Oreochromis niloticus: one gene and its partner. The protein of the gene in region 1 purifies or fractionates together with the protein of each later gene. This does not show direct contact. Links are inferred from orthologs where the notes say so. Each region holds a gene or a part of one and is shown in the gene's direction. Other genes may lie near its edges. The genes, in order: vti1a and vamp4.

The links.
Region 2: the proteins of vti1a (region 1) and vamp4 purify together in Homo sapiens (affinity purification with mass spectrometry; 4 studies listed by BioGRID and IntAct, counting the BioPlex papers as one, with this or other methods). This does not show direct contact. The link is inferred for Oreochromis niloticus from reciprocal best matches to the Homo sapiens genes VTI1A and VAMP4.

Annotation. Positions count from the first base shown.
Region 1 is NC_031973.2:13,236,578-13,253,125, forward strand, and holds the start of vti1a (vesicle transport through interaction with t-SNAREs homolog 1A), read left to right. Parts: upstream 1-9,953; 5' UTR 9,954-9,993; coding exon 9,994-10,087; intron 10,088-16,548. Other genes in the region: palmitoyltransferase ZDHHC6, read right to left, coding at 4,007-4,107, 4,210-4,256, 4,646-4,794, 5,393-5,434, 5,630-5,797, 6,076-6,129, 6,663-6,821, 6,932-7,091 and 2 more. UniProt on the Homo sapiens protein: V-SNARE that mediates vesicle transport pathways through interactions with t-SNAREs on the target membrane. These interactions are proposed to mediate aspects of the specificity of vesicle trafficking and to promote fusion of the lipid bilayers.
Region 2 is NC_031986.2:38,753,400-38,770,383, forward strand, and holds the start of vamp4 (vesicle-associated membrane protein 4), read left to right. Parts: upstream 1-7,999; 5' UTR 8,000-8,217; intron 8,218-8,908; 5' UTR 8,909-9,043; coding exon 9,044-9,046; intron 9,047-9,851; coding exon 9,852-9,953; intron 9,954-12,801; coding exon 12,802-12,848; intron 12,849-13,170; coding exon 13,171-13,221; intron 13,222-14,140; coding exon 14,141-14,241; intron 14,242-15,820; coding exon 15,821-15,900; intron 15,901-16,325; coding exon 16,326-16,377; intron 16,378-16,474; coding exon 16,475-16,500; 3' UTR 16,501-16,984. Other genes in the region: itpa (inosine triphosphate pyrophosphatase), read left to right, coding at 177-239, 486-543, 638-702, 781-854, 946-977, 1,784-1,896, 1,977-2,053, 2,243-2,375; rangrf (ran guanine nucleotide release factor), read right to left, coding at 5,930-6,505. UniProt on the Homo sapiens protein: Involved in the pathway that functions to remove an inhibitor (probably synaptotagmin-4) of calcium-triggered exocytosis during the maturation of secretory granules.

The DNA of each region.
Region 1 (16,548 bases):
GTCTGAGACTGTAAAGTAAAAATTCCATATTAGAATTAAATTACAGCAAAAAAAATTAAAAAAAATAAAAATTTCAAGCTACAGCACACTTGCACCAATATATGAGTAATCCTTGTTTCCTCATCAGTTGATACACTTATGATATCAATTTAAAAATCCTACTTTGTGAACAAAGCTGGGTGTCTAAGTCGTTCACTCACGACTTATTGGAGGGTTTGGGATTACTGAGTTTTGCTATGGCTAAAAATTGGAGAGCAGTCAGACAGCGTTTCAACTGCAGATAACATTATCAACACCCGTCCTACGTCCTCGGTTATGTTTACCTGATGCAATGAGTTGCAATAATGGAATGATTTACAAGCTCTGACAAGAGTTACTTAAAAACCCTCACTTCAGATGAGGCTGCTTCTCAGCAGTTACTCTGTAACAGGTTAACACTGAGACGTGTCTGTGCAATAAAACCCATTTGGGTCAAGAGCCAAATAGCTGCTGGTGATCATCCCACCCACAAGCGACATGACTGGGCAGACAATGAACCACTTCCAGAAAGTGACCAATCACACAAGGCACTAATACACAGTTTCTAACACTCATTTCTGGTTGTAATCTTTCCACACAGGTACATTACAGTTCCTACACCAACTGCTGACTTTAAGATGCAATGTCAAGTTGTACCACACTTGCAGGCGTAGGTGCCAACCATCTGGTCCATGGTGTCTATACTTCCTTTGGCTTGTTGTAGAATGTGATCAATTAATACATTGTGCTGAGGAGTACAACAGTTTCCCTTTTCTTTCTGACATAGCTGACTATGGTAAGGCTGCCATTGAATCCAACCTCTGTGTTGTAAACTTCCCAGGATGAGGAAGGATGGAAGGATATCTGCCTTGTCCCATTGTAGTTCCCACAATAGTGTCTCCAGAAGACACTGCGCAAGAGGCACACTGGAGAAAAAGTCATCTGTGGGCATGTTGTGTCTTGTGCTTCTGAGTTTACTCCACAACCCCTGGACAACATTTTCTCTCAGCTTTTTCTGAACTTCTTCCCCCATGTAAAATATTCCAAATATTATATAGCGGATGTTGGCATCACAAATGCAAAAGAGTTTCAGGCCATACTTGACGGACTTGTTTGGCATCTACTATGGAAATTTTGACTCCCCGTGAATGCCACAAGTTGACCATCTAGGGTGGCACAATCACTGGGGATGAACACTGTCTGAATGATGAATGAATACTGTCTGTTAATTCTTGCTGTGAAAAATAATCTTCTTACCACTTATGGAAGTTTGGTGTAGTAATACAACAATGACAATTTTGTAAAAATGTTTAAAAGGTAAGTTAAAAATGTAAATGGCATGACATTAAAAACATGTTTTTGAGGAATAGCTGGAACATGAAATGCAAACAACTTGTCATTAATTAGATATTGCAAGAAAACATCCTGACCGGGTCATTTGTGACCCACTAATGGGTTAAAGTTGTTCAATGTTAAGCCACTGTGACTGCAGCGAGCTGGCCACAGCAACTGTCTGAGCTAGTTTCCATCTGTATATATAGTTGGACTTGTGATTAACTTATCTGTGTTCGAAGCTAGCTAGCTAGATGCAACACTATAGCAGCACTGGCTGCTATAGTGTTGCAATCATACTCCTCACGATCCTAAGATATCGCAATAGAAACTATGTTGTTCCAGACGTTTGGTACGGCCTGTACATGCAGCTAGAGCAAAAAAAAAAAAAAAAAAAAAAAAAAAAAATCGTTCCCAACTGACAGTTTGGCTGACCGTCTAACAGCAGCTTACCTGTATGTAGCAGATCTAAAGCGCCGTGAAGAGCGTCAGAGTCGAGCCGTACTGATGTGGAGGTGCACGCATATTTACTGGAGAGCTCGTTTACCTGTCACTTTTAAGCGAGAAGCTGCCTCATCCCGTTCAGTCCTGTGCAAACTGCTAAGAACCCACTAGTGGAAGTCACTCGCACGTGAACAGGGTTTTGTAGTCACGTGATAGCTCCTGGGCACTGGATTGGATGAAAGGCTACAGAGTCGTTGAAAGGAAGCCACGGTCAAGTGACCAAGGCAACGATTTTTTTTCAGCCGTGAACTCTAAAAAATTGAAGGTATTTCACTGCTTTAGGTATTTATTTATTTTAAATTTATTATAAAATATATTTTATTTTTATTTTAAATTTTCATATTTATTTAATTAAATAATTACTAAAAATATATATATATTTAAAAATTGCTTTTTAAATGTTTTAATATTTATTACATTTTCAATTGATTTCCTCGTTTTAGTTTTTTTATTGGTTGGTTTTGTTTTTGTTCTGTTTTTATTATCTCAAGTGTCACTTTTGGTCTTTTTAAATTATCATCATAAAACCCTAAAATCAGAGTCAAGATATAAGAATCTTAAAGTAAGTATAAGAATACAAAGGCAACAGTTTGTGAAGGTGTCCCGTCTCACATACTCAAATACAAAGGGAGGATTTGAATGCCAAATGTGACCAAAGTGAAAAAGACTTTATTTTATCTTAGTCTTGTAACTAGATTATATTATTGTTTGGGTTTCATTCCCCCCCCCCCCAGAAATTTAGTTTGAATTTGTCTTTTGTTTAAACCTAATTTTACTTTTTAGTTGAGCTTTAGTTTGCTATAAACAGTAGTAACATATTCTGTGGATGTAATATATTGTATTAAACAGTGTGGAAAGTAACTTAATACATTTACTCAAGGGTTGCATCTCAAAGGGAAATACTGTCAAGTTTCTTTCCCACACTGATATGGTAATTTAACTGTTCAACAGTCCTGGGTCTTCCTTGTCATATTTTTAGTTTCATGATATTCCAGATATTTCTACTGATGAAAGGTTTGGACTGCAGACAGGCCAGCAGCATGCCCTCTTCTACTATGAAGTCATGCTGTTTTAATTTATGTAATATGTAGTTGTTACATAATAGCAAATACTATCAATTTTAATGTAATATTTATATGAAATGCTAAACAAACAACATAAAAGTTAGATTAAGCACAACAGATACAGAAACAAGAATACAAATATTTAGACTGAAATTTGCCTGTTAATGAAGTGTGCCGACGCACCCATGTTCCACCTCTAATAGACCAATTTGTCATTAGTTAGTTTAACTTTTGGCAAAACCAGTATTTTTAATTATTTTCATTGCTTAGTTTCCTTTGGTCACCTTAAAAAAAATGAGGCAGAAGTTGTCAATAAATTTAATATTATAATGAAAAATAAAACATTCAACTTATTCAGTTATAAACTGCAGAACTAACTTTGATGTAAATTGTTCCTATTAAACGAATTATACAAATGTTTGACTGAAGTGGCAGGTTTAATTATGTACAATTTATCAAATGTGAACTTAGCACTTTTTACAAGCTCAAGATGTCTTAAAAAATTAACAAACAAGAGAATCTATTACAAAGAATGAGACAAACACTCTTGAGGGATATCTTTCTTTATGTTTCAAATTATATTTTGAGGCCAACAATTTACTTTTACAAAAATAATAAAAAAAAGAAAAAAAAGAAAATGAAATGTTTCTGTAAGGTAGAAAGAGTTGCATGATGATGCCCTCAAGTTTGGTGGGCAGAGGCTTTGCATAAGTAGCAAAAAAGAAATACCAACACAAATGAAAAATAACAGGTTCAAGTAAAAAGTTTAGTCATAACAAAGTTACACCATAGTCTGGTGGCAACTCTTGGACATTAAGACGGTTGTTGAGTTTAATTTTTGGTCAGAGGAGTCAAACTGAGCCTACGGGACCAGTTCCTCTAATGACTTCTCCACAAATAAAAAGTGCTCAGTCAGACTCAAAAAACTACTTAGAAATATAAGTTGGCACTGAAATGTGCAAGAAATCGAAAATTTGAAATTTATGATGGTAAACCTGCAGGATTGGGCATGACATCTTCAGTGGATGCTCATAAACATTGAGAGACGTGTTCTGCTCAGTTTAATGCATCAAGCCCGTTGACATGTATTAATTAACTTTTTTATCACTGGTGGCATCACTTGCTGCTGTGTCATAATGGCACTTCTCCACACATCGTCTTGGAAACCATCCTCTTACACGCTCTCCAGCTTAATGCCAAAAGAAACAGAAAGTTCCACATTTGTTACAGTGACTTTAAAAACACTTTGTTACAGTGATTTTGAAAATTCAACGGGACAATAATTCCTTACCTCTCACTTCCTCCTCACTCAAAACTTTATCTCCATACATCCACCATCTAAAGGGATAAATTACAGTTTAAAAAAAATTACTCATCAAATACCTATAAACCTTATTAGCCTGTGGGGCCAGGTTCACCCCTTAAAGGCTGCACTAAGGTATGTGGTGTACTATGAATCAGCAGCTGGAGGAGAGGCATTTACAGGTCAAAACCTGTTTGACTTCTGTGTTAATCCCAGTTTTTCCATAATGCACTCGGAAAACCAAGGTTGCAAGTGGAACGAAATTAGCAACTGGCTGACTGCTAGGATCTGCTTGGGAGGAGTGACTGTAAATGATGTGGTCTATTTATGATCAAGCTGTGGAATCTGTCACTCAGACCCAAATGGACCACACTCAAAATCAAACACCAAACAGGAAACAGTAGTTCTGTGCAGACAAACTTACTTGGTACCACGAGTAGCCAGAATGGTATCCCCCTTGCAGAGAGGGATCCTGGGCTCCTCGGTGCAGGGGGTTCTAAAAAAAGTTTGTAAACCCTTGCTGAGAGGGCAGCAAGCTCCATTATAATCCTCTACTGCCCGGTACTGGACCTGCTGGTCAAGGCAAATATGATACATGGTTATTCTACTGCCCTGAACGTCAGTTAAAAGTTAATTATGTATGTGTAAAAAGTCTTTAATTTTAGTGCATTAAAACATCTGACAAATTTCACAGTACTGATTATAAGATCTACACTATATGAAAGGTATTTGTTAATTTCATTCTCTATGGTGTATTGCATTGTTACAAGCTAAGATGTAGCTCATCAGTTTCCTGACATGATATGATTATAAATATGATCCTAAGTGTTTATTTAGTATCAATCCCTAGTACTTCAGCATGAAAATACACTCTTCTTGACCTGTATGTTTTGCTTGTTGCACACACTGCATAAGCCAAATTCATGCAATCATAAATAAACCCCTAAGAACACTTGACAGTTATGTGCATTTAAAACTACAGTCTTATCACATTTTGATTTAGTGGAAAAGTATTTATTCTTTAACTTTCTCTGGTGATAGAAACACAACACAAAGGTTAATGGATAATAGTATGAATGGAGAATAATACACTGGCAAGCAGATCTCACAAACATTTCAGACACAATCAAATCTTGTCCTTGCACACAGAATGCATCTGGTGGTTACTTACACTTCTCACTCGTTTATCAGCTTTCTGTTTCAGTTGCTCAATCTGTGTAAGGAGAAATAACAGGTACAAACATTATCTATAAACTGAACTTTTATAAGAAATGTCTAATGAGTCCTCACTGAATCTATGGAGTTATAGGATGTTAAACAAACAAAAACATGTTTTTTCTAATTTTATGACAGAACAGTAACAAACAAAACACAATCAGCAATGTCTACATTACTCAACTCAACCTACAGTTAAGGTGTGCTGGTGACACTTGGGATGGACTGGCCATACAATGCCATCGCCTCTGGGTGTCCCTGACCACGTGAAGACTTGTTTAAAATTCAGCCAGCGGCTGCCGAGGTCGTAAGGGAAGATGAACTCCTCCCCTGTTTGGTAGTGCTGTATTCTGTCTTTGGCCTATTAAAAAGAAAGACAAGCAAACCAAGAAAACACATTTTCTAGTACTGTCATAGGGTACTATAACATGTGTGTCTCGGTCATTTTTAAATATGAAGTACTGCAATGATCAAATGCAAAACAAAACAAACTACTTTTAAATCCCTCAGTATTGCGTGAATATAAAAATCACATTAACATCCCAGATTACCGTTTGTGAATCAAGAGAAAAAGACACTGATATCTCAAAATGTTATCAGGAATCAAAGTCACGGGAATTCAAGCAGAGACATTCTGACCTTTTCCTCTATCCACGACTCGATTGAAGTCTTATTTCGAAGGATGACTTTCATCTGAAAAGGACAGACATTCATTATCAGAGTCAGCAATCTCTCAGCCTATATTTCCTTAAATAAACTGCTTTGTTATTGGAGTATTGATTGGAGCTGGATATATACTACACATGTTCAAGCTTTAAACTTATAAAATCGGTTTCACTCTTTCTTGCTTGAGAAATTTCAGGTACCATCCATTTATTACAGCTATTTAGTTTATCTTTTTTATGCTATGGACTGTCTTTCTTTCTCCCTTTATGTTATGTTAACCATTTTTGTTACATTATTTGCAAATAAATAGGTAGGCGTATGGATCCATGCATTTGTAGAATTATAACACAGTTTTACTTCTGATACGCCTACACACGCCAGAATATGCTCTCTGGTCAGATCTTCACCAGATGCTTTCCAAACTGCTCTTGTCTTGAAGTGAAAACATGGCTTGCAAGATGTAATGTGGCTTTGTAGGATTATGAGTAAATAATCAGACAAATGTCTCTTTTTTTTTAACCAAAAGCTTGTTAAGTTTGCAAAACTTAAGAAAAACTCACCTGTATAACGAAAAGCATACCAACGGCAATAGTGGTGCCAAGTGCCAAACCTAAGGCAAAGAGTGTAGCAGCGAAGGCAGGCACACTGAAGGGCATGAGGGGCTGAAATTGACGCACAGCACTCATGTCAATCCTTACAGTACTCCAGCCGAATGATATCTGCAGTGAGGAAAGAGGAAACAGCTTTATTAGCCTGGTGGGGGTTCGGCCTAGAACTGTGATAACAGGACATCAAAAGCTTGGTGGGGCGAGCTAAGGTGACAGCTCACCCTCTCATACAGCTGTGTGTACATAGTCATAATGAAGATAACGGCAGCGTGTGAGCAACCCAGTGGAGCTAGGAGCAGGAAGCTGGTGAAGTAGGCGTGGTTCAAGTGGCCACAGCAGTTGTTGATCCAGGGGCAGTGGTGGTCCATTTTCATCACGCACCTGAAGGAATGGAGACGAGGAGGAGTAACAGGACATAAGAGTAATAATCTGCGGTCAAAGCTCATTTTTCAATGGTAAATGGTAAATGGCCTGTATTTGTATAGCGCTTTTACTAGTCCCTAAGGACCCCAAAGCGCTTTACACATCCAGTCATCCACCCATTCACGCACACATTCACACACTGGTGATGGCAAGCTACAAGCTACGATCGCCCCTCAATCACCATACAACTGCAAAAACAGACATGTCACATCAATAGATAATCACTAATGATGTGCTCTAAGGTATGGAGCACTCTAATGGAGTGATACTTGCATGAGAGGAAATAACAGGCACTTAAGGGATGAATTTCTTCTGCAATAGTAGTTTGGTGTGCTGCCAATAGCTCAGTATTTTGGAGTCGTGGTGCCTCGTTCCTGAGCCAATTTCTTTGGTCACAAGTCAGTCTTTTTCCATTACAAAGAATTTTTTTGCCACTCCCCAAAGCCTTTTTAGTCAGCAACTAAAGGAGGAGCTCTCTTCTCATTCACTGCCACACTATTTTGTACAGGTTAACCATTGTGAGTGTGCTTAAACATCAAGTTTTTTTGGGAATAAATGTAAATACCTGTTACACTTTCGACAGTGGTGGGACCTGGGAGCCTTGTAGCCTTGACACCCTCTGCAGTACTGTAGGTACTGGGTGTCCTGCTGATTTTCCTGTTTCAGCATAGACACATGTGTCAGATAATATATGGATTTACGACATTTAAATAAGTTCATGCTTGCTAATGTTTGTGTGCTAAAAAAAATAAATATATGAATTTATCCTTACTGGTTTCCAGCCAAGAGGAATGTATCCAGGTCCAACAAACATAGCATTGAAGTAGTTGTAAAGTATGAGGACAGTCCAGTTGATGAGCATGATGAAGTTAATGCTCCCCCCTGTAGTGTCTAGAGGCCAGTACCAGATAATGGAGTCTAGAATTGCCATTGTGGAGCATATAGCAATGACAGACAAGGCTATGATTGGACCCCAGTGGCACAATCTCCGAACCTCATGGAGGTTCTTAAAGGTCACAAAGGTTGACAGGAAGTTCATTTTTTTCAGTGCTAGTTTAGTTCTAGTATTTTGGCTGCTTGACTCCAGAAATTTCAAATGTCGATGTTTTAGTGTTTTCCTCTGCTATCTCCCAAAGTCACGGGTAGAGGTGATGCACATATTTTTTCTCGTCCTCGGAGTATCCAGGAACAGGCCCAGTCTTGAGCTACTGGCGTTTTCTGTGTCCCACGATTTCTTGTCCTGGCAGAGAGCAGCATCCTCTCTTGTCAATCCCTGAAGCACACGGTCTTTGTGATGGACTCAAGTTTCCCATCTGAATTCTGCTATCTGAAAGAAAATCCCGAAGGAGAATGTCCAACCTTCAGTTTGAGTCCTGAAGCTCAAGCCCACCTGGGTTATGCAGCAGGACAATGACATGACACACACCTGCAAGTCTACCTCTGAATGGTTAAAAATAAACCAAAATAACATTTTTGGAGTTGCCAAGTCAAATTCTGGACTTTAATCCGATTGAGATGCTTTGGCATGATCTTAAACATGCTCAAAAAACCTTCAATGTGGCTAAATCAGAACAATTATGCAAAAAAAGAGTGGACGGAAATTGCTCCACATCAACGTGAAAGACGGATTGACAGTTATAACAAATGCTTGACTACAGTTCTTGCTGTCAAGGTTGACACAACCACTTATTAGGTTTAGAGGGCAATTACCTTTTCATACAGGGCTACGTAGGTTTGGATACCCCCTCCCCCCATTAATAAATGAAATTATCCTTTAAAAACTGCATTTTGCATTTACTCGTGTTATCTTTGTCTAATGTTAAGATTTGTTTGATTATCTGAAACATGTAAATGTGACAAATGTGCAAAATACTCTTTCACAACACAATTTAGATCATACTGCTATTGAAAAAGATGTTATTCATGCTTTAAAAAAAGAAACAACTCCTCGGTAGTTGCAATAAAAATACTGAACAACCATGACTAACATTTTTAGCTAATGACTTAAAAGCAAGTACAGAAACGGCAATAAAACATGCCACACTAACGTAGACAGTGCTGGATTTGTATTAGTATTAAATTACCATACTAAAAGCAGAACCATAGCATTTGCTTCATTGACTAATTAGCTTGTGTTACCAAGCTAGCTAATTCTCGCCAAAAAAAGAAAAATAATTACGATTTATATGCAAGTCTTCTATCCATCACTGCACAGTAATGGACAGAAAACTATGCGTTAGACAACTCCGCTTTAAAAAAACAAACAGACAAGTGATAAGTTTATGCCTTTAGCTCTAAAATTGTGTTTCCGTTAGCACCGTGGGTTGAGCAGTTATCGTTAGATAGCTAGCCTAGTCACCAGCATAAACACTAATAACGTAGCATGCTGAACACTTACCACGAGGGGCAAATAGAAAACAAAGATAACCTAAATGACAAATGCTTTGTTTTTAATAAATAGAAACAAAAGGCTGTCACTTTAAATCACCAACCTGGTCACTTCCTTATTTTTTTTTCATAAAATTTTCCTGTGTACAGTGAGGAACCTTCCTCATGGTGTCTCAGAAACTACTACCCTGAACCACTTGTAGATACCTTTTAATCCAAGTAGTAGTCTATCACCGAAACGGCACAGAACTACAAGAATTATTCATGCATTCAAATTCGGGCTGAAATTAATAGCATTTTCTGTCCACCTTTCGAACCTTTTTCAGTGTCGAAAACGTGAAAACAAAGTCAAGTTCCTTACCGAGCACATTATGCTGTGACTCAAGGAAGAAGCTCCATTCGAGGCTTGTTGTTATTCCGAGCTAACTGTCAACCAGAAAGCTACTTACCTGTTGTAAACTCGACTACCAGAATGTCTTCAGACTTTGAAGCATACGAGCAGGACTTTGGAACAATTACAGCAGAAATAACTAATAAAATTGGCCGAATTCCCAAACTAAGTGGAGGTAAGAGAGTTACATTTATAAGCTGTTAAACCTCATCTGGCTTGCTAGCTCTAGTCTCAGCTGACAAGGCAGCTAACGGTAGCGATAATGTGATTTCATCCAAATATTGGTCAAACTAGTGGTGAAACACAGCTATATGTAAAGAGTTCTTGTTATATAAAAAGAATGTGTCATGTATATGTGGCCGTCTTCTTATCTTGGTATGTCTTTGATCGGTTTAGCCGGTGTGAAAATAGTGTTAAAGAACATCCTAACTCTGTTTATGGTGTTCAGAAGAGGATAGAAGCTTCAAATCACTTTAATGAGTAGGTTAATATTAATTGAAACTATTCAACTGAAGTAATCTTTTAGTGTTATCATAGTGATTTAGTGTATGAGATTCAGTGTATGAGATTCTTGCCAATACTTACCATAAAGAAAAACCTATGGATGTTTTTGTGGACAACCATCATTGGAAAAGTTAAGTTTTGGAATGGCACTGATATCACAGCAGCTTTCAGTGACACTTTTGGTGAGTGTAGTTTTTAGTTTTACTGTGGATTTCAGTTTTAGCCAGTTTAAAAATAATTCAGCCTTTTGATACCAGCAAGTTTGAAAGCATACGTTTCTTAATATGTTAGCAAGGGCCTAGTAACTAATATGATGGACTAATAACTTTTTCCTGGTATTGACTTAAAAAATATTTAAAAGCGTGTCTTTGGTTGACTATTTATTTAGCTCTTCACATTCCATTCACTTTTATTTATATAGCGTTAAATCACAACAGCAGTCACTGAAGGTACTTGGATTAGAGCAATGTAACCTTCAGTGGACGGCTTTTCCAGCAAAAGGTTAGGAGTTTCAAAAATGTTCTCATTGATCTTCAGAACACAGTCCTGGATGCAGCTGTAGATGGTGTACTCTGGTTCATCCGTGCGTGCTGTCCTGCACAAAGGTGCAAAATAAGGACAGTGCATGAGGTAGGGCTGCTCAATTATGGCAAAAATGATAATCACGATTATTTTCACTGAAATTGAGATCTTGATTATTTGACGATATTTATTTAACAATAACAATGTATTGAATAATGGCTTTAAAGATTGTCAAAAAATAGTATAAAATAGTGTGCAAATACTGATTAGTGCAAATGTTTGCAATATAAAAAATAAATGAAAAATGTAAACATCTATGTTTAGTGAACTTCAAAAAACTGCACAATATTTGATCCACGTCTGACTCCGCGAACCCATAATGTTTCCACACCACTGAAGTCGTTTTACCTCTCTTTTCAACCAACGGCATTCTTTCTTCAGCAGCCGTTATCCTCTCCTCTCCAAATAACTTCTGCTTAGCTTTCCGAGCTTCCCTCGGGTCTTCTTAATTGTTGTGACACGTGTTTGAAACGCAGAGAGGTGTGCTCGATTTGCCACACGGAGCAGCGCGAGAGTAAAGCACGAGGGAGGTGCTAATAATCGGCTCAGTCATTTTTAATGATCGTTGAAAGCCCAGATCGTAATCTAGATTAAAATTTGATTAATTGAGCAGCCCTAGCGTGAGGTCCATAGTAGGAGTTACAGATGGGTTTGAGGTGGGATTACATCAAGCATCAGGTCTGAGTTCCTTCTTGTTTGCAGTGATAATGGACAGGTTGATAGATGAAGTCAGGCAGGAGCCTCTGTGGACTTTCATGTTCGCAGATGACATTTTGACCTGCAGTTACAGTAGGGAGCAGGTATAAGAGGTCCTGAAGTTGAGGTATGCACTAGAAAGAAGAGGAGTGAAAGTCAATAGACAAGAGAGAATACGTGTGTGAATAAGAGGGAGACAGATGTAACAGTTAAGATGGATGAGTTTAAATAAAAGCAATGCACAGTGCACAAGAAAAGTTAAGAAAGGAGTACAGGAGAGGTGGAATAGTGTCAGGGTTTATTTGTGATAGATGGACAACAGCAAGAGTAAAAGGAAAGAGAAGGTATTGAGACCTGCTATTAGTGCTGTGCGATATGACGATATATATCGTGTGGACGATAGAAAAGTTTCTATCGTGCCATTTGTCTTCTATCGTTTCTGTCGTTTCTAACCCTAATTTCATAAATTATTACATAAAATATATCATTAACCCTTTACAACCGGTCGGAACAGGCACACTCCGTTTTGCCTAACTATTTTTAAATCCCTGTAGAACTGGAACCACGTAAGGTAGCGCAATAATTTTTTTTTGCATATGAAACCGTAGGAGTTGTACTTACATGTTATTCCATTAGCTTGCCCTAGGTCACGGTTTCCTTCCACATATAGCTTTGCAAAAATTGCATAAAAAGCACTTCCAGCAACAAAAACATAATATTCCAGACTTGCAGCAACAAAAACAATATTCCGGAAACACGCTTTGCCGATCCGATCAGCTGTTCATAACACTTCCTAGTTGGAATATATTTGTCAGCGCGAACTATCGCATGTCCGCCATTACCTGACCGAAACCGGAAGTGACGTCATTTTCGCGGAAAATGTAGTTTTTTTACTTTTTATAGCCTACGTTGGTGTTTTTAAAAGTCATGTTTGACTTTATGCTTTTCTGTATCGTTTCCGGGATGCTTAGAAGTCAAATTACACTGTTGGAAATAGTTTATTTTGATGCACAAGCTGTTTTTTTGCAAATTTGCATTATAATATTTATTTTCATTTTTCCTGTAGTATATAAAAATTAGTGTATCTCAAAAATAAAACTATGAAGACACTCAAAATAAATTTCTCGTGGTTGGAAACTATTTTGTGCAACTTTCTGGTATTTACAGTTTTGAGGGATAAGCCTCTTAAATTTCTCTAAGTAGAAATACATGTTAAAAAAAAAAAAAAAGATTTTCAATTTTTTTGTAGTTTATTGCACTTTTTTGCAATTTATGTAGTTACTATGGACTTAATGCATACATATCATTAAAATTTGGGCTATAACGGTTGTATTGATGTATAGCAACTTGAAATGCTCCCACAAATGGCACTACAGCATGTAAAATGTAAAGATAAGCTCTGGCGGACTTGGTCTCATGGTAGGTCTTAAAGGGTTAAATAGCCTGTGGCAAATATATTAGTGTTGTCTTCTCACTATACATACTCTTAACTTTATGCAAGAGAAAATAAAGTATAAAAAAATGATATTTTTCACAAAGAAACTCCGTCTTGTGGTTTTGCGACATGGTGCTGCTTTACATGCACCCGGATTTGCGACATGCTTTACGGTAACTCAAAACAAAGACTGCACCCTCTCCACTCGCTGTTTACAGACTGCATACTTTCCAGATGACCACAGGTCAGGTGGTATATCGTGATATATATCGTTATCGTGATATAAAATAATTCATATCGTGATAAATATTTTTTCCATATCGCCCAGCACTACCTGCTATGATGTATGATTTGGAGACAGATCATTAATAAAACCACAAAAGACAGAAAGTTTTTAAGATTTTTTGGGGGAGTGGCCAGAATGGATTAGATTAGAATTGAGTACATCAGCTCGGATTGAGCAGTTTGCATACAAAGGTGGAGAGAAAAGGCTGAGATGGTTTGGAAATGTGGAGAGCAGGGATAGTGAATGTATTGGACAAAGGGAGGAAAAAAGGAAGACCACAGAAAAGATTCATGCATGTAGTGAAGGAGCACATGATAGGATGAGGTGGAAGCAGATGGTCTGCTGTGACAACCCTTAAAGCGAGCAGCTGTAAGAAGAAGACATTGCTGGTTTCATCAGTTTGTTAAAGTGATAGCATTCTGTCATTCTATCAGACTTAATTCAGACATAACCAAAGCCACATGTAACACTTTTTGAATGATATATTTAGAATAGATTGTTATTAAATTGTAGCTCTTCAAATGTGACTTTGTGAATTCTTTAAAATGAAAACACAGGTATTAGCTGGTAGCTTCTGGTCTCGTCTCCTTAGAGTTGTTTTGCCTCTTCGTTTGTATGACCCGCAACTCCTTCACTTTAGAAACACTCATTGATAGATTCTGATGCTGTAGGAGTGCAAATCTGACTCTGTCTTCATCAACTTTATCACAAAATTTTATTTAAAGATTTTATTCTGTAATAGAATTGAAACTGAAAGCTCAACATACATGAAAAGTATTTAGGGATTTTTGGTGTGGTCCATGTGTGCTTCCAGCAATTAATGCTGTGTTCACACCACTGATAAGAAGCTACAAACTGACGCCTGACACTTGTTGATGCTTTATGTGCATCAAATCAAAGTTGAGCTGACGTCCATCTTTTTTTTTTCAACCTATCATATGCTTGTTGCAAATAAACACTTGAGCGACACTTCAGTAGCAAACCAGTGACAGTGTCGCTTGTGATGTCTGGCTGTCTTTGTAACTTTGTCTGGTTGTGAGAATTTAACATTAAGGCATGCAAAAGCTCTCTTTGTTGTTTAAGGAGGATTATTATTCTGTTGAAATGTGGAAAAAGCATTATGTTCTAATTTTGTTTTGTACAATAGAAACCTCTTTAACATATCTGACCACAGTTTTGATAAAGGTGTAGCTTTGAAACTTCCTTGAGATAACTTTGGGCAGCTGGAGAACACCTTATTACTGTAGGATATTCTCCTATATAGTCATGTCTTCTTGAGCTGGGCAACTTAAGATGCTGGAGAGACATCTGCACAGTGGTAATCTTTTTGAAGTTGGTTAATTTTTGTAAATTTTACTCATTCAGACCTACTAAGACTGCTGTTTGTGGAACGACTTCGAGTATTTCTCCCCTCTTCTGCTCTGCGTGTATCAGTTTCGGAGGAGAAGCAGAAGAGACATACACATGCGTGCACACACAGTGAAACAGACAGCAGAGGAGAGAAACAAAACTGAATTGGACTCTTTTGAACTGAGCTAAAATAAAAAGTGTGCACAGAATATAAGTCTTTGGCTTGACTATAGAGGGGGCGGATTGATCCAAATATTGATAGTATCGATAGCAATTCTGGTATTGATACTCAGATCGATACTTTTCTTTTAAAAATATCCCCTTAAGTTCAGTATGTAGCCCTCTGAATTGTATTAAATTAATTAATTTAATTTAATAATTTTTTGGAAATGAAAAAATATACCTCCAACATACACTATGAAAAATGTCAAACAACAGAAGTTGACACGACCTTTAGAGACGGGCACATTTACATTCTAGGTCTCAAAAAAACGCAGTTTGAAAAAAACATGAAACGCTGTAAGGTGTATTTTGTTTTGTTAACCAGTTATTATGGAAAGTAAAAATCAGAGTGAGTTAATGGTCACTATTTGCAAATTGATGATGAGCCATCTTTTAAGTCACGAGTCACTGCTTTCCCCAACATAAGCTGCCTATGTAGGTTTAAAGTATCGGTACTGGCAATTTTGGCCCTGTATTTACTTGGTATCAGATCAATACCAAAATCTGCAATATCGCACCGCACTACTTAACTACATTTTCAGATAGTAATATGTTGTTAATTTTAGATAAACCTCCTTTCTGATCGCCAGTTCTGATACTTGGTTCTGTAGGTTTCAGACATATGAAATCCTGATTATCTGAGCCTGTGTTTTTGATACTGTAATTTATATTCTGCAGGATCTAGGCACAAATGCATGACTTTGACTTTTTTCTTTGAAGGGAGTCTTTAAAATGTATTTATGTTTAAATTTCTGTACTGTGAAGACCTGCACCAAAAGAGGGTTTAGAGGTGGGTTAAAACCTACAAATGCTGTTAACCATCTAGCTCTGGGTCTTCCCATCTTGTTTTTTCTACATGCAGATTTACCAGATTGCTGCATTAGTGCTTTGGTGGCAGTCTTTCAAGATGGTCTCACTAGACAGGCAGCTGAGAGACGGGCAGCTTGTGGATTTGGCTAAGGCTGGAAGGGAAACATGAGTATGGACGACATGGAAAAGGCCAGAGCTAGTTCGCCAGTTGTGATTTCACTTTAAAAATGTAATACTTGTACGTGGCACCTAACATACCCATAAATGAATGCAGACATATCAATTGGTAATACTGCCTTATTTAAAATGACTTAATACAAAGCACATAATAGAAACTTGAGCTTCAGTTGCCCCCGTTATTTCACAAGGGATCACCACAGTAAAAAGCTCCACTATTGACATTGCAGATTTTTTTTAAACCTCAGATTCCCTTCCTGATGGAAGCCCACAGGGATTTATGTCTCCTCCTGGGATCAAATCGTATTGTTTGCTTGTTAGGTGGATGTATAAACAGCTACACTGTCATCTGACACTACTCAATACCAATCACAGTTATAAGCTGAGACAAAATAGTCATTGAGTTTGTATATTTTTTTCTCAGTGCAAGAGCCTTTCTGCACAGCACCTTCTTCCATTTTTACGGTCACTTTTCAAAATTAAATGGTATTTTGCAGTGTGAAATACACTGGGTGTTTTTAGTTTACAGCTACACTAAGCTAAAATGGTGGGAAATATATATCTAAAGGTGGAT
Region 2 (16,984 bases), on another chromosome or scaffold:
CACTTGGCTCTGATTTCCACCCGGACAACATTGCTTGCAGTACCGCTTGCTGATTGGTGGAGTGCCCCTACAGACTTAATGATGATTGGCTGAGGCTCTCAGATTTACTGTTATTGGTCGCTGCATATGTGGAAGTGCTCGGTTCGTTGTTGTTAGTCATCCGGGTTCAATTCATCATGGCGGTACCCGCTGGAAGGTCTGTGGTTTTCGTGACAGGGAACGCAAAAAAACTTGAAGAAGTAAGAAACAAATACTTCATACCTGAGGTGGATTGTATGTTTACGGCCGGAGTGGCCTTTCTAATCCGTTCCAGGAAGAATATGTGTTCATTTAACGGTCCTTTTCATGCTGCATGTTGTGCTGGCTAGTTAAAGTGAGATTGAGACTGGAGCAGTAACCAAATCCAGAAATCCCTTGTTTCGTTTGCCACAAAAAGGCCTTACTTTTTTTTTTTTTGCTTCGTCTGCTTGTTTGTGATCCGTCAGGTCATTCAGATCCTGGGCGACAAGTTTCCCTACAAACTAGTGGCGAAAAAGATCGACTGTGAGTATCAAAAGTAACACCACTGGCTAAAGAAAAATAAATACATAGATAAAAATTATGTGGTCATTGCTCTTGCAAAATTTTCTTTATGCAGTGCCTGAATACCAGGGAGAGCCAGATGAGATCTCCATACAGAAGTGTAAGGAGGCTGCACGACAGGTACAATATAAAACCACTGCCATATCACGTATTAATTAAAGACAGTGTGTTAAACGCCTTTTTCCCCTTTAAATTCAGATTGATGGACCAGTCATAGTAGAGGACACCTGTCTATGTTTCAGAGCTTTGGGGGGATTACCTGGTCCTTACATGTAAGTAAACTATCTAAAGTATGTATTCAATTATATCATCTTACATAGTGATAGTGAGCGTCAGTTTAAAAACAAATATTTGTTTTCATAGTAAATGGTTCCTGGAAAAACTCAAACCAGAAGGTAAGTAATGAAATAAATGCTATCTAGAATGTGTTGTTTAAACACACTTATGCAGAGCTTGATGGATGCTTGATAATCAAGTTAGGAAATCCCAGAAAGTTGATTTAGGTCATTTTGGCAGATTGCTTTCAATTGGAGAAACCTGTCATCCCTTATCCAGACGACTTCTCTGCAGGCTCCCAAACCTTATAGACAGTACGGTTGCATAAAGATCAGCACCATTGCTTAACAATGAGTCATGTGCCAATTAGAATTGTCTTCAGAAAATTGCTGGCTAGGTATGTAGCACGGAAGTGTTACCTGAACAGGCCAGAACTCGGCAGTCTACACCTACAAGCCAGAGGCCAATCTTTTGATGAAGATGTGCAGATCCTGGACAGGAATGAATGAAGGTTTGAGCGGGGAGGGCATTGATATAAAAATAGAGGCTCCCTTCCTCAGTTCTAATAGTACATCTCTCACCATCTTACAATGCCGTGATTGGAGCCATTCCCCGGTTCTTTGTTAGTAGTACTCATGGCCATTCATATTTGCATATCCGCAGTCATCAACTGATTGTGTGGCTCATTCTTATGCAAGCACCTTAATAGTTAAATTTTAAAATCTGTTTATAAACCTGCAGTCAGTTGATACTGAAGAAGTCGCACGGTTACTTCACATAAACCAAATCAACATTCTGGGATTATGCAGAGCTTCTTTAGAAAAACTAGTGTTGACTTTTGAGTTGTGTGTTTTTTTTTTTTTTTTTTTGTTTTTTTTTTGTTTTTTGTTTTTTTTTTTATTATTATTTTTAAAATACGTTTTAGGTTTGTACAAACTTCTAGCTGGATTTGAGGATAAATCTGCATGGGCTCTCTGCACTTTTGCGTTCTCTGCTGGGAAAGATGAACCCATTCAGCTCTTCAGAGGGAAAACAGAGGTCAGTCTGTCTCTGTAAATCTGTCCTGGTGTTTGTGCTTTTGTGAGTGTATTTTGTATTGACTCCTGTGGTATTTTCAGGGGTGCATTGTAGAACCCAGGGGGCCTCGAGACTTTGGCTGGGATCCCTGTTTCCAGCCAGATGGATATGACAAAACGTAAGCAAAACCATTTCCCCTTTTCAACCAACAAGGGGAGCCAGAGGTTAACACACTGCCTCTGCATTATCAACCATACAAATCCTTTTTGCTTCATGTGGTGCACTTGGGATAAAGTATTACTGTTATTATTTAAAATTTGTATCAAATAATAATTTTCACAAGTAATTTTTTTTCACTTTTCTGCAGCTATGCTGAACTGCCCAAAGAAGTTAAAAATTCAATCTCCCACCGGTACCGGGCGCTTGCTGCCATGTCTGAGTATTTCTCTCAAACCAACAATACCTCACCACAGACCAAGAAGAAAAAGGAGGAAGATTAAAGATAACTTTTGCTCCAACTTCAGGCTTTGAAGTTGCAGTATTATGCATCAAATATAAAGGGAGAAAATATTCCTTAATACGAAACTGTTTGTTAGCCCAGAAAAATATAAAAGATAAAACATTTTTGATGCGTACCCGTAGTCTCTTAAGCAGGCAAAGTGCTGCGTAATATCTGTTTTCTCTTATTTTTTAATAAATGTTTTTGAACAAATCCACCCGTCTATGTGAACATTTCTCTTTGAATATTACCTCTTGGATACTCTGAGACAACCTTCTGAGTTTTTGCTTCCAAGGACTGACAAAGATAGACTGAGGAAGAGCATAATTCATGAAAAACAGGAGCTCCAGGGTCCTGATGAGAGCAGCAGACTCCTCTGTGGCTGAGACTGGCTCCTAGATTTGGGGAGTGAGACACAGGGCTTGAGTCCAGAGAGGGGAGGGTCCCTGAAGGGGAGAGCGGGGTGTTCAGTACAAACACCACAGTGATAACAGAGAATCTTGGGTTATAAATGGCCCATGAGCTGAAAGCCTCCAAGCAGGAACTATGCATACACCTGTGACTAATATCTCCCACATGTATTGAATCAGTGATGCATGCTTCCACAGCAGTAGAAGCATGTGTCAGTGCTGCTCCTACTGTTACCAAATGTTTAATCACTTTAATCAACACACTAAATGCCGTGTTTGTTACACTTGTGTATTGTTCTCACTTATCTTTCCTGCATGAAGGACTGTACACTGTAACGTTTTCCCATGTAGTTAATGACATTGATAATCGGTAAAAGTGACAGTTTCATAAATAAAAGTGCAAACACAGGACCACCCTGTTTCTCTAGACCTCTAACTCTAATTTGGGATTTGAAGTAGAAGGTTGCAAAAAAAAAAAGAACATGGGAGCTGTTTTTTTTTCTCTTCAAGGACACTTTACCAGTTTTTCCCAGAATATGAAGTCTGCCTGCCAGGCTTCAGGTTACTAGAGGTAAAAGACAAAACAATTACTGTGAGTGCTGAAGCATTAATCGAAGCCGAAATGCCTGTGTGACTGTTGGATCATTTGAAAGGTATCATTAGGGCATGATACCTAAATTTCAATACACTATCCAAGCCCACTAACAGGAACGATATTCATGTTTTTAATATGATACAGTTTTTGGCTGATAATGTGTTATGTGGTCCCTGGGACATATTTATGTAGATTTCTATGTAAGTGTCTTCATCCTCATATTTAGAAATCTGACAATATATTTCATTCACTCCACTTTACTTACTTTAGTACTACTTGCAGCTCATTTTTCTTGCCTTTTTTTTTTTTGTACTAAAGAGTGTCTGCAGCACTTTAAAAAAATCTGTTTCCAAGAAAAAGAGGTCTACTCTTGGTACCATCCAAACTATAGAGTTTCTGAATTTTCTTAAACGCAACTTTAGGTTTAAAGTTTTTGGAAACCGTTTAAAAAAAACTGTAATACAGATACTGATTTCTGGAATAGGAAAAATAGTTGTTTTTTTTAAATTTGTGACTATATTTCAGTTTCCTCTACCATGGCAGAAACAGACAATGGTTCTTTTGTTTGAAACTCTCACTCATGTGTATACGACAAGCATTACAAGTGAAAAACCTGGAGACTATAGAACGTGCCCAGGAGCCAGTCAGTAATAGGCGTTTTTCCAGGCACTGAAAGTCCATGGTAGCTGGAAAAGCGTCTCCTGACACGACCTGCAAATCGAATACCTTTCCCCAAAGCCCTCATGGGGAAACACAGGATGTTTTCATTCTTTATTACAAACAGAACCAACACAATGCTTATCCAAGGAAACTTGCTGTTCTAATAAGAGAGTATGCTTTGGTTAATGAAGGAATGTGCTGCTCAAGGATCCTGCGAGGAAAGGACGCCTGACTTTACGAGATTCTTAATCAGTCGTGGTTGTGCCAGAGGAGGAGGATGGCTTGATGTGGCACTGGGGAGACAGACTTTACTTCATTTTTATTTGTTATGCACGACTTACCTGAATTCTCCTGCTGTGATGAGTTTTATTTAACAGCAGATTTAAGTTAAAAATATTTTTTTGTTCCTACAATAACACGTGTACCTGGAAAAGGCTTTGATTATACACCACATGACTTACAATGCTGACATCTAAAAAAATCTGACTCCAGAAGGACATTTAATAGAGGCCATTTTCCACTCTATAAATTTGGTTTCACCAAACTCACTCTTGAATGAAGTGTCCTCAAGGGATTTTAGGGTTCAGACTAATGAATTAATCCACCATGAGGCCACTGGTGTGCACGATGGAAACAGTTGACCTAATACATATTCCTGCTGGGACTGGTCCTCTCCGTTTTCACTGTTTATGACGAAACCATGAAGCTCTCTGTGGAGGCACAGAGGGCTCCATGAATATTTCCTGTATTTAACTTCTCCAGAGGGATGTTGGGATCTAATTTCAGCCATAATCTTCTGACTTGTACACTGACTTTTGGCTACTACTTTTATCACCACTGTACTGTAAAAACAGCCAGTATAAAGAGCATATCAGAATCTGGGTGTTACAAACTTAAAATCAAGTAGTCCTAAGGGGAAGATTGTGATTTATACATAATAATAAGGTATTTCTCTTCGTTAGTCATTTCTAATTTACTTGTGTTTTGTCTGAAACAGGTCTCTCTTGTAAATGAGACACTGAGTCTCAATAGGACTACCTGTATAAATAAAGTTTAAATAAATTAAAATAAATAAGTCTCCATAAAACATGCTTAAGTACAACGGCAGTGTTTTGGAGTAAAATACAGAGAGAATGAGACAAGTAATTCCAGATATGCATAATAAAGTCATTAATTTTTTCAACAGTTAATAGTTTTGTTTCAGTCCTTAAATTAAAGTTGATTTTGAAACGTTATCACCTTGTAAACATTTCAAGACCCAATTGTACCTTTACGTAGAAAGGAAATATCTTCAAATGAATGATAATTTGCTCATATTAATCCAATATGTGAGATTTAATACAGACTATAGTGGCATGGTATACACCAATCATTTGAACTTTAAATAAAACTAAACAACAGTGGGAGCCTTCTTGTCATATTTGGTTTGCAGTTTTTAAATAGAACAAAGCATAACAGGGACTCCTGTGTTTCAGGGAAGAAGCATGACTGCTGCTCTCTGAAAACTTTATTTGCATGAAAACATACACCTGACTATATCTCAGCCCTAAAAAGCATTGACGCCATGCACAAAATGTTCTTAAAATATGTAATTAACTACTGAACTGATTGAGAGATTTAAAAAAGTTTAACTATGAGGTTATTCTACAAAGCATTTTCCCCCACATAGCGCTTTTTAAAAGATAGCAACCGCATTATGTACGGGGGAAAGGTGGCTTTAAATAAAGGGTCTATTCCACTGGGGAGATGTGTTGTATGACATTTGATGCAAACGGAATAAGCTCAGAATTTAAAAAATATAGTCTATAACCAGTCTGCTTTTTAAAAATGTTGTTAATGTCCCACAGGGAGAGAGACCGAGAGACACCATATCATAAAAGTGGACTTGCTCTACCCGAAGAGCCCAGGGTTATGCAGAGTCAGAGTCTGTACGAGGCGCTGGAAGTCCTTCACCATCCAGGGCTGTTGGTGTGTCCCCACTGCACAGGCACTGCTGCTCTCAGGGCTGATACTCTGCGGGTCATTAAATGTGATGAGGACATCTGTGGAGAACTGCGGCAGACGGAACAGGCCCAAGTGGATGGTCACTGAATTCCTTGCTTCTTCATTGAACTTAGAGACGGACTGAGTCCCAGTCAGCATCCACGCAGTGCTGCACTCTGACAGGGACAGCTCAGATTTGGGCAGAGTCACAACACTAGTCACTTCAAAAGCCCCCGGCTCCAGAGCTTTGTTGCTTCCCGCGATGTCCTCAAAGTGGTACCTGGCTGCATCCTGGTCTGCCACCTGACCCTGGTACTCCACCAACTCGACGATCAGGCTCTGGTCTGTGTGGGCGTGGGCAAACACCTCCTGGTTGTCCGGGATTTCTCTCAACTCGCTGATATCTGTGGCGCTGTGAGGGATCACAGCTGACAGGGCTCCTCCAAACAGAGGATGAGCCTCGTTAGCTGCTGCACTCTGCATTTCTCTGTGAAGCCTGTAAACAGAAAGAAACACCACAGGTGAGACCGTCTCCACCCACATAAACACCACCTACTTAACAAAAATTGTAAAGGAAAAAACAGAAGCTTTGGTGAAGTTGCTGAACACATCTGCAGCTCACCAGCTCACCTCCCACTGCACGGTCAATGTGGTTCCGGTGAAAACTTAATCTTCTTCTTCTTGTTGCGTGTGTTTTTTTTTTTTTGCCATTATAACAAACACGCTGCTGCCACCTACAGGTGTGGCAGACCTCGACAGAAACGATTTCGCAGAATAAACTTAAAAATTATAAATCTAAAGTTTCTGATTTAGTTTTCAAGCTCATAACATACATAGCAAAAAAAGAAAACAAAGAAAAGAAATATATAAGTAGGTTTAATTCGAACATTTAAATGCTGAATGTCCAAATGACGTACATGGACGTTCAACAAAACAAAGTTCCCAATATATTATTCATCTACATAAAAGTAACACAAATTTTGTGCTCAAAAAGGACAAGTATAAACTTATATGATCCCACTCCTGCTTTCTGTTTCATAGCAAGATTCACCTTTCTTTCAAATGACCTGGAAATGACACAATGACACAAATGACAAATGACAAATATAAACAAAAGACTCCCTTAACGAGGTAAAAAGCTGGATAAATCTAACATTAAACCAAAAATTAAAAAAACAAGAATAAAAGACAATAATTTCATGTAATATCTTTAAAGATGTTAAATACATCCATTAATTTTTTTTTTTGTTGCAAACCATGAATTGATTAGGTTCATTAATAATCAACACCCATTGTACCTTTAAAAAGATGTTGGATACATTAATTATGTTTGGTCTCATTTGGATTTGTGGGAAAGAAACGATTCAGTCTTTTCCTTTATGAGTAAAAATAACGTATTCTTTGTTCGAAAATGTTAAGTTGTCAGTGTTATCAGCTCAACATTTTTAAGCAACCCAAATGTTATAAAGAAGAAAGCATGTAATGTACAGAAAGAGCGGAAGAATCTGTCTATTTATAGATCAGCTAAAACTTATTTTACCGTATTTATTAGAAAAAACTAGTGGTAATATCCTTGGTACAATTCTCTGTCTCAGCACTGGCGATTGTTTGTAATAAATAGTGTAAAGGCACCATAAATACATTGGTAAAATTAATTGTTTCTTTGAAGAGACCAGATTTTTCTTCTTTCTAAACATATATTACTTTGAACTTCTTGTATAGATAAGGTGGAAGAAGACATTTTAATAAACAATGAAATCCTCATAAACACTGTAAAAACACGCACTCCTGTGACAAAAGTCAAAGCAGTCTACTTATTACACTGAAAATTGGTTTATCATTATTATTATTGTTATTATTATATTTTATATATTTCTGTGTAGAAGTGGAATATTTACTGCATAAAAGAACGTAAGGTAAAACATTTTCCGCAGGCCGTAAAACATCTGCAGCAATTTCTCCTCCTCCTCCTCCAGCTGTTTGTGTTGATTTCCTGGTCAGCTGATTCAGACCGAGCAAAGATAGGAAGAGGAGAGCTGGCATCCACAATGATCATCGTGTTTCATGGTCATTGATAGCATTTGAGATGAATCAAACAGATCCGTAAAGTCGCATTAAGCCTTCGTGTTAATTTCTGAGTTTCTGTGTGGAGGAGTTTACCGGCTTCGAGCGGCGGATCCTGTGGAAAACAGCAGGTAGCCGCGTTAGCATCCTTAGCTTAGCTTAGCTTGGTAGCTAAGCGGCCTGTCTGATACGGGTAAAATAATAAAGAAGAGTGTAACTAAGCTGTAGTAGCTTTTAAATTGTTTTTCGTATTGTGGAGTTGAAACTTCATTGTTAATTAGGTTGACAGGAATATTATTTTCTAAGATTTAGGCTGTCAAACAGCTCGACCTGCTAAAGTTGTTGACGGCTGTGATATAATGTTAATTAGCTTATGAGATTGTGAGCTTGTGTGTTCAGTTTTACTCCTTTGCTAAACTGAGGGATCCTTAAAGCTATTACTTTACTTGTAATAGAAAAAAGGGGGGAAATCGGCCGCAGATAGCCAAGCTTTACTCATTTGGTATTCCTCTCTTGATAGAAATTGATTGTGGGATTGATTTTTCATTCTTCTTCTGTTTGCTTAAAGTTGCAATCAATGAATTGATTAGGGTAATTAATAATCAACAGCCAACATTAAGCAATTTCCACAGGTCTTTTGTTCCAGTGTGAAACCAAGCCTTTCCTTTATGTAATAAATCACTGCTTTTCTTTCTGTTTTTCAGTTTTTTACCTTTAAAATTGACTCTTGAAATAGACGTCTTCCTGCTTTCCTGCCTGAGCCTTAACATGTTACGTAGATGTAACTCTGGCTTCTTTCTCTTCACACTATTCCTGCTTCAGATCTGTCCCCTGCCTCTCTTCTCTGTTTACTGGAAAGCTCTTCTCCTCTTCTGACCGCTGAAAGGCCCAGTTTTCCAGCTGCAGTGCCAGAAAAGGAATCTGAGAAAGCCACTGTGTCAGAACTAGCTGGATTCAATGGTATAAGTTGTATTGTTGGTTTAACAGAGACTCTGTGTGTGTGTGTTTGTGATTATATTACCACTGAGGGCCACATGTTGTTTAGTTCAGTGTCACAGAGGCCCTTTAATGAAGCATCTGTGTGTGTTTTGTCTTGCTCTTTGGAGCATGAAACACCCAAACACAGACTCCAGGGTGCATAATTGGAAGAACAGCATGTTTTCCATTTCCGTGTTACATGGAGAGCAATGATGACATTTCCTTTCATATCTAGTGAGACTCAACACCTGCTCCACCAGAAGGATTTGGATTTAAAACAGCTTCATAAGATATCTGTTTTTGGACTGTTTTAAAAAATATTATGTTTCTTGTATATGAGAAGCTGGAAACTCAATATCTGATCCAACATCACATCCAATTACTTTGGGGACTGGAAAAATCAGTTATCTTGAGCTACACTCTTGAGATTCCTAAACCTGATACAGTAAAGAGGCTATGTAAAGTAAAATAGCTCAGATGAATAAAATAGAATACAGATGTCTTACATTAAAGTGGCTCAATATATCCAGAACAATAAGAGTGTAGTGAACAGTGAAATAAAGTAGCTAAACAAATAGAGTTGTATTGCTGGGCCGTGAATTCACATTTAGTCATTTATAATGTTTAGATTCTCAGTATGTTTGTAAACTCTGCATGTGGTTATGTCTGTAACTCCTTTCCTCTTACCAATACTGGAATCTTCTCAATTCAGGTATCTAACTCTGTTTTAAGTTCTCCCACAGTGTGGTAAAGCTTCATTGATGACTTTTCTTCTCCTGCCCTACAGAGGGAGCCAGACCGGGAGGAGCAGCCTGAAGACAACATGCCACCGAAGTTTAAACGACACCTCAACGACGATGAGGTCACGGGATCGATTCGCAGCGAGAGGGTGAGACACAAATAGACATGGAGGAGCTGGTGTTTGGCGTTTGGGTTTGTAACAAATTGCATGCGCAGTTAGAGAAGCAAAGTAGGACATGTAGTATATTTTCTAAACCACTTATACCATTCATGGTTGGAGAGAGATGGAGCCTGTTCCTTCAGATGTTGGGCAAGAGGGTACTGGACATGCTGGACTTCTATCTCATAGGGTAACACATTACTTTTACTGTGGATTGACTGTGGATCCCATCCTGAGCGAGGAAAAAGCCCTGTATCAGATGTAGAAAGTTTATTTGTCAGATTAGTCATAATGGAAAAGCAACAAAAATAAGGGGAGCGAACCAAAACAACTTTTTTTTTAAGGGGTGAAGCTTTAGAAACTGCTATGGCCAAATGTCTGGTCCTCATCAGGTTGATCATCCCGTCCCACGCACCTCAACCTCCCCTGTCCTCCTCCTTATTCTTTATTGTGTTCATTCCTCTCTTTCCTCTGTGTCATCCTGTTTGCTGTTGTGTTGAGCTGAGATCAAAGCAAAGCTTACCGGGAGGCTTGCATAACAAAATAACCTCCCATGCTTTTCCTTCAGTGCCCGGCCTCCTGTCTTACAATAATTGCTAACAGTTTCCTTCACGTCTGCTGTCTCGAATGGAAAGAAAGAAAGAAGTTTGTACAGAAGGAGATTGTTAGTGCCTTAACTTATAAAGTATTTTATGATCTTATGGCCACCATTCCCACAGATTTTTTGCAGATGCCATTTTATTTACAGGAGAATAAATTGTATTGGCCCGACATTGACTGGCAGAATTGACACTACAGTGCATCCATAGGTGTCGCAGTTATTAGAAGGTGAATGCCATGGCTGAAAGAATTGAGATTTTAACCTTCGTTACTGCTAAGGTAATGAAATTCAAATGTAATTGATCTTTCTCATAAAAATTTCACACTGTTGGGTTTTAATATCGATTACCTTTCTTGTGTAGTCTCTAGTAGCAGTGGATAAAGTCCACCTGCCTTCAGTCCAATAAGAAACAGACTCGTTCTCTTCTCCTGTGAGAATTTAATGCAGCTGTCCTCACTTATTCTTTATAATTAGCAATTTACACCAGAGTGCTTTTTGCCCTGATTAAAGCCAGCAGTCGTTCAGACTTTTCATCACTGCAGTGATTTTGTGGCATAATTCGCCGTAAGATGCCAGACAGGTTGTCCCATCCCTTTTCTTTTTTTCTTTTTTTTTTATCTGATCTGTACAGTTTTATGTTGGCTTCTCAGCATACTGATTGTCCATCCATTCATCCATTTTCTTCCACTTATCCGCCACCGGTTTGCTGGGGTAGCAGCCTAAGCAGAGACACCCAAACCTCCCTCTCCCTATCCTAGTCCTCCGGCTTATCCAGGGGAACACTAAGGTATTCCCTGGCTATCTGAGAGATATAATCTCTTCAGTGTGTCCCTGGTCTACCCTGTGGCCTCCTTCGGGCAGGACATGTCTGGAAAATCTCACACAGGAGGCATCACAACCACTTCAACTGGCTCCTTTTGATGTGAAGGAGTAGCGTCTGTACTCCGAGCCCCTCTTGAATGACCGCACTCTTCACCCTGTCTATAAAGGAGAGGCCAGCCACCCTTTAGAGAAAGCTTACTTCTGCCGCTTGAATTCACACTCTCATTCTTTTAGTCACTGTCTAAAGAGCATGACCGTAGGTGAGGGTAGTGATATAGCATACTGATCGTCCTGCCCTGAAATACTTTCACTCCAGTGCTTATGTAATGTAGTGGCTGCTCTCACACATCACATTCTTAGATCAACAGACTTGAATTTTTATTGCTGCACACTGTGACGACTGCCCACCTGGCCAGTAATAACAAGGCATCCAGTCTGCACCAGGCTGGAAAACAAAATCTGGGGAAAAGTTAATAGTGTGCCTGAATTCAGCCAGTCATGCAACACAAGCTTGGGTTTCTATTGAGCCTGTCTTAGAAATAAGACAAGAAAACACATCAGGTGTCTGTTTTCGTAGTCACATAGCTCTTTGTAGGTAGGCAGTGTGTTTACAAACAACTTATTAGTATATTGGTTATGTGTTCCTCCAGTTATTATGCATTATTTTAGTGGTGCCCTTATTTTGGGGCATCACTAACAACCTCTACTTAGAACAGATAAAGGAGTTTTTATTGGGCTTTGGACAACAGAGATTCAGCTTTTGTTCTGCTGTTCATTCATCATACAACAGCCTGATATTGGAGCCCTTTGTAACTTTGACCGGTTGTAGCATGGATCCTGTGGAACTTGATTTTTGGAGGGTAGGGCCTGCATTAGTCAGACTTGTTGTTGTATTCCTTGAGCTGTTCCTGAGTGATTTTTTTGCAGTGTGCTAGGGATTATTGTCCTGCAGGGGGCTGCTATGGGGTTGCGCTTTTTTGGCATCAGTGTTTAGGCAGGGTGTTAAGGTGTGAAAGTAACATGTTGATTAATTGCCAGGACCTAAGGTTTCCTAGCAAACAACTGCTTTTTAACAAGCTGATCAGTTTGACTGTATTTAGACCATCTGTTAATGGTTTTAATGTTTTGGCTAATCGAAGCACTGGGCTAATGTTGTATTCACTGTATTGACCTTCGAAGGATAGTAAGCCAAAGGCTGTCATTGATCCCTAAAGCAGCGTTTTGGCCTTTTGATGGATATAGTACGTCCAGTTTCTTGAGTTCTCATCACCAGGACTACTTGTCAGCAATCTGCTCAGGCTTTAATGTTGGTAATAGACTAGTGCTCTGACCAAGTCCCTCCTTATCCAAAATAGATATCAGGCAGGCAATAGTCCCAACTTCTGTGAACTCTGACCTTTTTCTCTTTTACAGAGGAATTTGTTGGAGGAAGACTCTGATGAGGAGGAAGACTTCTTTCTGTGAGTGTTTGTTAATGAATTTAATAATAATACATTAGATATTTAAAATTAAGTTGCATTTCAAACAGTAGAGCCTTAATTTGCTCAGATGAATCAGGCTGTGAAGATGTTATGTTTTTCTGACATATACTGACCAGGTTTTAGAGCATAGAGAAAACAACCAACCACCAAATTGAGAAAGTTTAATAGCCAGTCTAAAGTTGTAGCCAGTCTATGGGAGTAATATCGATAATATTGATTGTTAGAGCATAGTACACTAACTAATCAGCACAATTCATGGTTGTAGTCTGTACATTTGACTTCATCCATGCTTGTTTTTCAGGAGAGGGCCAACAGGACCCAGGTTTGGACCTCAGAATGACAAAATCAAGCAGTAAGTACAAACACATACCTCATTACAACAAAGAATCAGAGGTCAGAGTAGTATTTCCATTACTGGTTTTGGTATTGGTGTTATGTAACTATGGTTCGTAATGTTTACCAAAAGCTGCTGGTTATTACCAGATTGTGTAAGAGAGCCCATCGTGTGCAGGTTATTGTGTAACCTTCTCAGGATGTCTCAGTCCCTCTGCAGACTAACAGAGAACAGAGGAGGTCATTGTTGAGACCGTCTGGCACTCTGACTTGTTTCTCCACACTCCATTCATACTTTATAGTTTGTTATTGTTGTGAGCATATGAAACTAGATGCCATAGCTGCACATTTGACGAATGTTAAATTCACGGGGCTCTTGAACCTTAACCGCTGTGGTCACTGTAGTTGTTTATGTGTCGTGATGGCAGCTCATACTTCTTTTATGTCTTTCTAATTGTTTGTTTTGCTCTGGCTTATGACTGTATACCACCTTCAGCATGCAATCAAGCTGATAGCCAAGACTGATAATTTACTGCAGAGCTTTTGTTTGAAACAGTCAGTTTGATTGTGAGTGAGAGCAGACAGTTGTTATAGAGAGAAATTCCACAGTTTTATATCATTATTTTTCCTCACTCATGAGTTTCTTTGCCAACTTCTTCCCGCTTGTTAACCATTCAGGCCTCCAAGTGGTATTACTCTAAGATAAGGGTGACCTAAGGGTAATCTGAACTACTCATAGCATACTCAGTTATGAGTAGTATAAATAAAGGATTTGAACTTTGCTGCAGATACCTAACAGGTGCAGACAGGTCACGCTGAGGCTGAAGGACATCTGTCATGCTTTTCATTGTCTGCCAGCTGGACAAGGCCAGACATAGAGAATCTTTGTACTGTACCAAAATAAGACCGGTCCTACCGTTGTGATTCTGTGTCCTCAGGGTGCAGTCGCAGGTCGACGAGGTGATCGACGTGATGCAGGAGAACATCTCCAAGGTGATAGAGAGGGGCGAGCGACTCGATGACCTGCAGGACAAGTCAGGTGAGACACACGAGCCGCCACATGTGCATATTTACCAGACATGTGTGCACTACTCAAGCATGAAAGGCAGGAAATACCATTACTATTATTGTTTTAAGATTTCGTTTCCAGAAAGACCCTACAGACTTATTTTATTTTGGGTTACTTAGGTATTTAGTAAAGCTTTCTGCTATGTGCATCAAATTTAGAAGAAAGTCATTTACTAATGAGGCTTGGACATTCGTAGCATGCAAACAACCTTAAAGTTGAATGCCCTCAACTTTAATGGTAATGCAAGCATGTGGTTAGCTCTCATTACAGCGCAAGACTAATTTAGAATAGTTTTTAACAGATGTATTCAACTGGTAAGAAGTTCCAAAGTCAAACAGTCAGCTAAGTGTTACTGTGCACTGAAGATATCCTACCTTTACATTGTGTCGGTGTGTTACGTAAATTAAATGGAACAATTTCTGTAAACCTTAAAATATTAAATATGTTTTGGCTCTTAACAAGGATAAAAGCATTAACATTATGCAAAGTTCTTCAAACAGCAGGACTCGGGTGTGCAGTAGCAACGATGGCATGTGAATAGACTCCATATATGCAGTGTTAAAAATACCTTGCATCCCTGTGTAACTGTTTCCAGGTATGCAGCTTATAGCGTTCGACAGGTTTTGTGCTCTTACTGCTCTTTGTTGGACACGCACAGCTCTTCTTTTTCGCCGCTAATGAAAACACATTGCTGCACTGCATTTGTTTTTTTGGTGTCACACACACACAGATGTTGTACATTGCACTCCAGCTTAGGTCTATTGTGTTGATCAGACAACCAAGACAATGACGCACATCTGGAACACATCTTTGTGTGTCTTTGATGTGAGTCTTTGTGCATGTGGACATGTCTGTGTCTAATTGTGGCTCCGCTGTGCCTGTCGTCCTTCAGTCTTCCTTCTGCGTTTACGTGAGAAATTTACAATCATGTAATTGACACTAGCAGTTTGCCCTCTGACCCATGTGCAGGTAGTCTGTGGTTAAATTCCAAAAGCCTCTTTTTAGAAGCCTGAGCACTGCTCTGTAGTGGTGACAGGTTGTAAACATGGAGATGGAAACAGCAGAGACAAAGACTCTAAATAGGGACCTAAGCTTAGATAAGTACAGCAATGCACACTAGGGAGCTCGACCCTACCTTCATGTTATCATACATAAACATAAAGTTAACAACGGTATCCAAGAAACAGAAAATCAGTGGTGTGGGCGAGTCGTTTGGAGAAGGGCTGGAGGAAATGTGTTTTTGCTCCATTGTGTTTTAATGTGGAAACTTGTACAACAATTGATGCCAATAGAGTTGGTTTAAAAAAAAAAAAACGATGTTTAGAGGAGTGACTTCACCATCACAGTTAAGTCTTACATAACTCCTACACATGCACAACACCGAGCCAAAAAACTTGAGTGACCCTATCCAGCTTGAGAATGAAAACAATATTCAGCTTATTGTTTACTTTACCAATAAGCAGATGTCCTTTTTTTTTTGTCCTCTTTGATTTACTTCCCTCCTCACGTGTCCTTCACTCATCTGTGCCGTGATCATGTGATGTTGCAGAGAGCCTATCGGACAACGCGTCTGCTTTCAGTAGCCGAGCCAAACAGCTGCACAGGAGGATGTGGTGGAGAGATATGAAGGTGGGGCATCCATTTCTTATTTAATATATATATTTGAATGCCATTAAATGCAACACAAATAACATTTAAATATCTGCTCGTTATGGAAATGAGGAGGTAATCTAGCAAATCAGCTTGATTAGCAAAAGTTTTAAGTTCTGTAGTTATCTGTAGTCTGCAAGTAGCTATTTCCAAAGTAGATCTACAAATAGGCAAAGCATTGAACCCCATGATAGCTCCCTTCATTTCAATAATGAAGGAGAAATTATACAAATTATACGAACATTTTACATATTAATGAATGCCTACATTAACTTTCAGTGTTATGTTTAATGCATTTAATGGCTTATTTTTTGCATGTATTTATGATTATGGCAGTTTTTGGTCCTCCACAGGAGATATTCACCGTTGTGTGTTTTGTGTCTAATGTGTTGTTTCTCTCTCAGATGAAGATGATAATTGCGCTGGTGGTTGTTGCTCTCCTGCTGATTATCATTAGTAAGTATTATACTAAATACATGAACAGAGTGTAAATTTAGAAAGTGCGCAGAACTTCTCTCTTACTGTTACTTTTTTCTTTTCTTCTCTTCATCAGTTCCAGTGATTCTTCGATATCGCTAGTGACTTCGGAGGAGGATGGGGACAACCTTCCTCGTCCTCTAGCTACCCCTGCACACAATCCTCCACTCCAGCTAGGGGGCAGCAGCCAGCTTCCCACACCCTCTTCAGTGTCATCCTCTATACCCTCAAGGATCTGGTCTCTACTTGCCACTTAGTACAGATCTTATCACTGTACTCTCACATAAATCTACAGTGAGGTCGGTACTAAGGCTTGGTTTGATCCCTAACTTGAAACTAAGCTCCAGAAATGGGACACATGGGGAAAAAATGGGGATTTATTCCACCAGTGCTGTTTGGGAGAAACCTCTCAGCCCTCTAGTCAATGTGAAGGAGTGCTCCATTCCATGATACATATCACATGCAGGACTTGACAACAAGTCCTGCATGTAACATCATATACATCGATATTGTAAAGGCAGGGAATCGATGCCAACCATCTCTTAGTTTAGCCAGTCTGTTTCTGCTGCAGCAGTCTTACATAAAG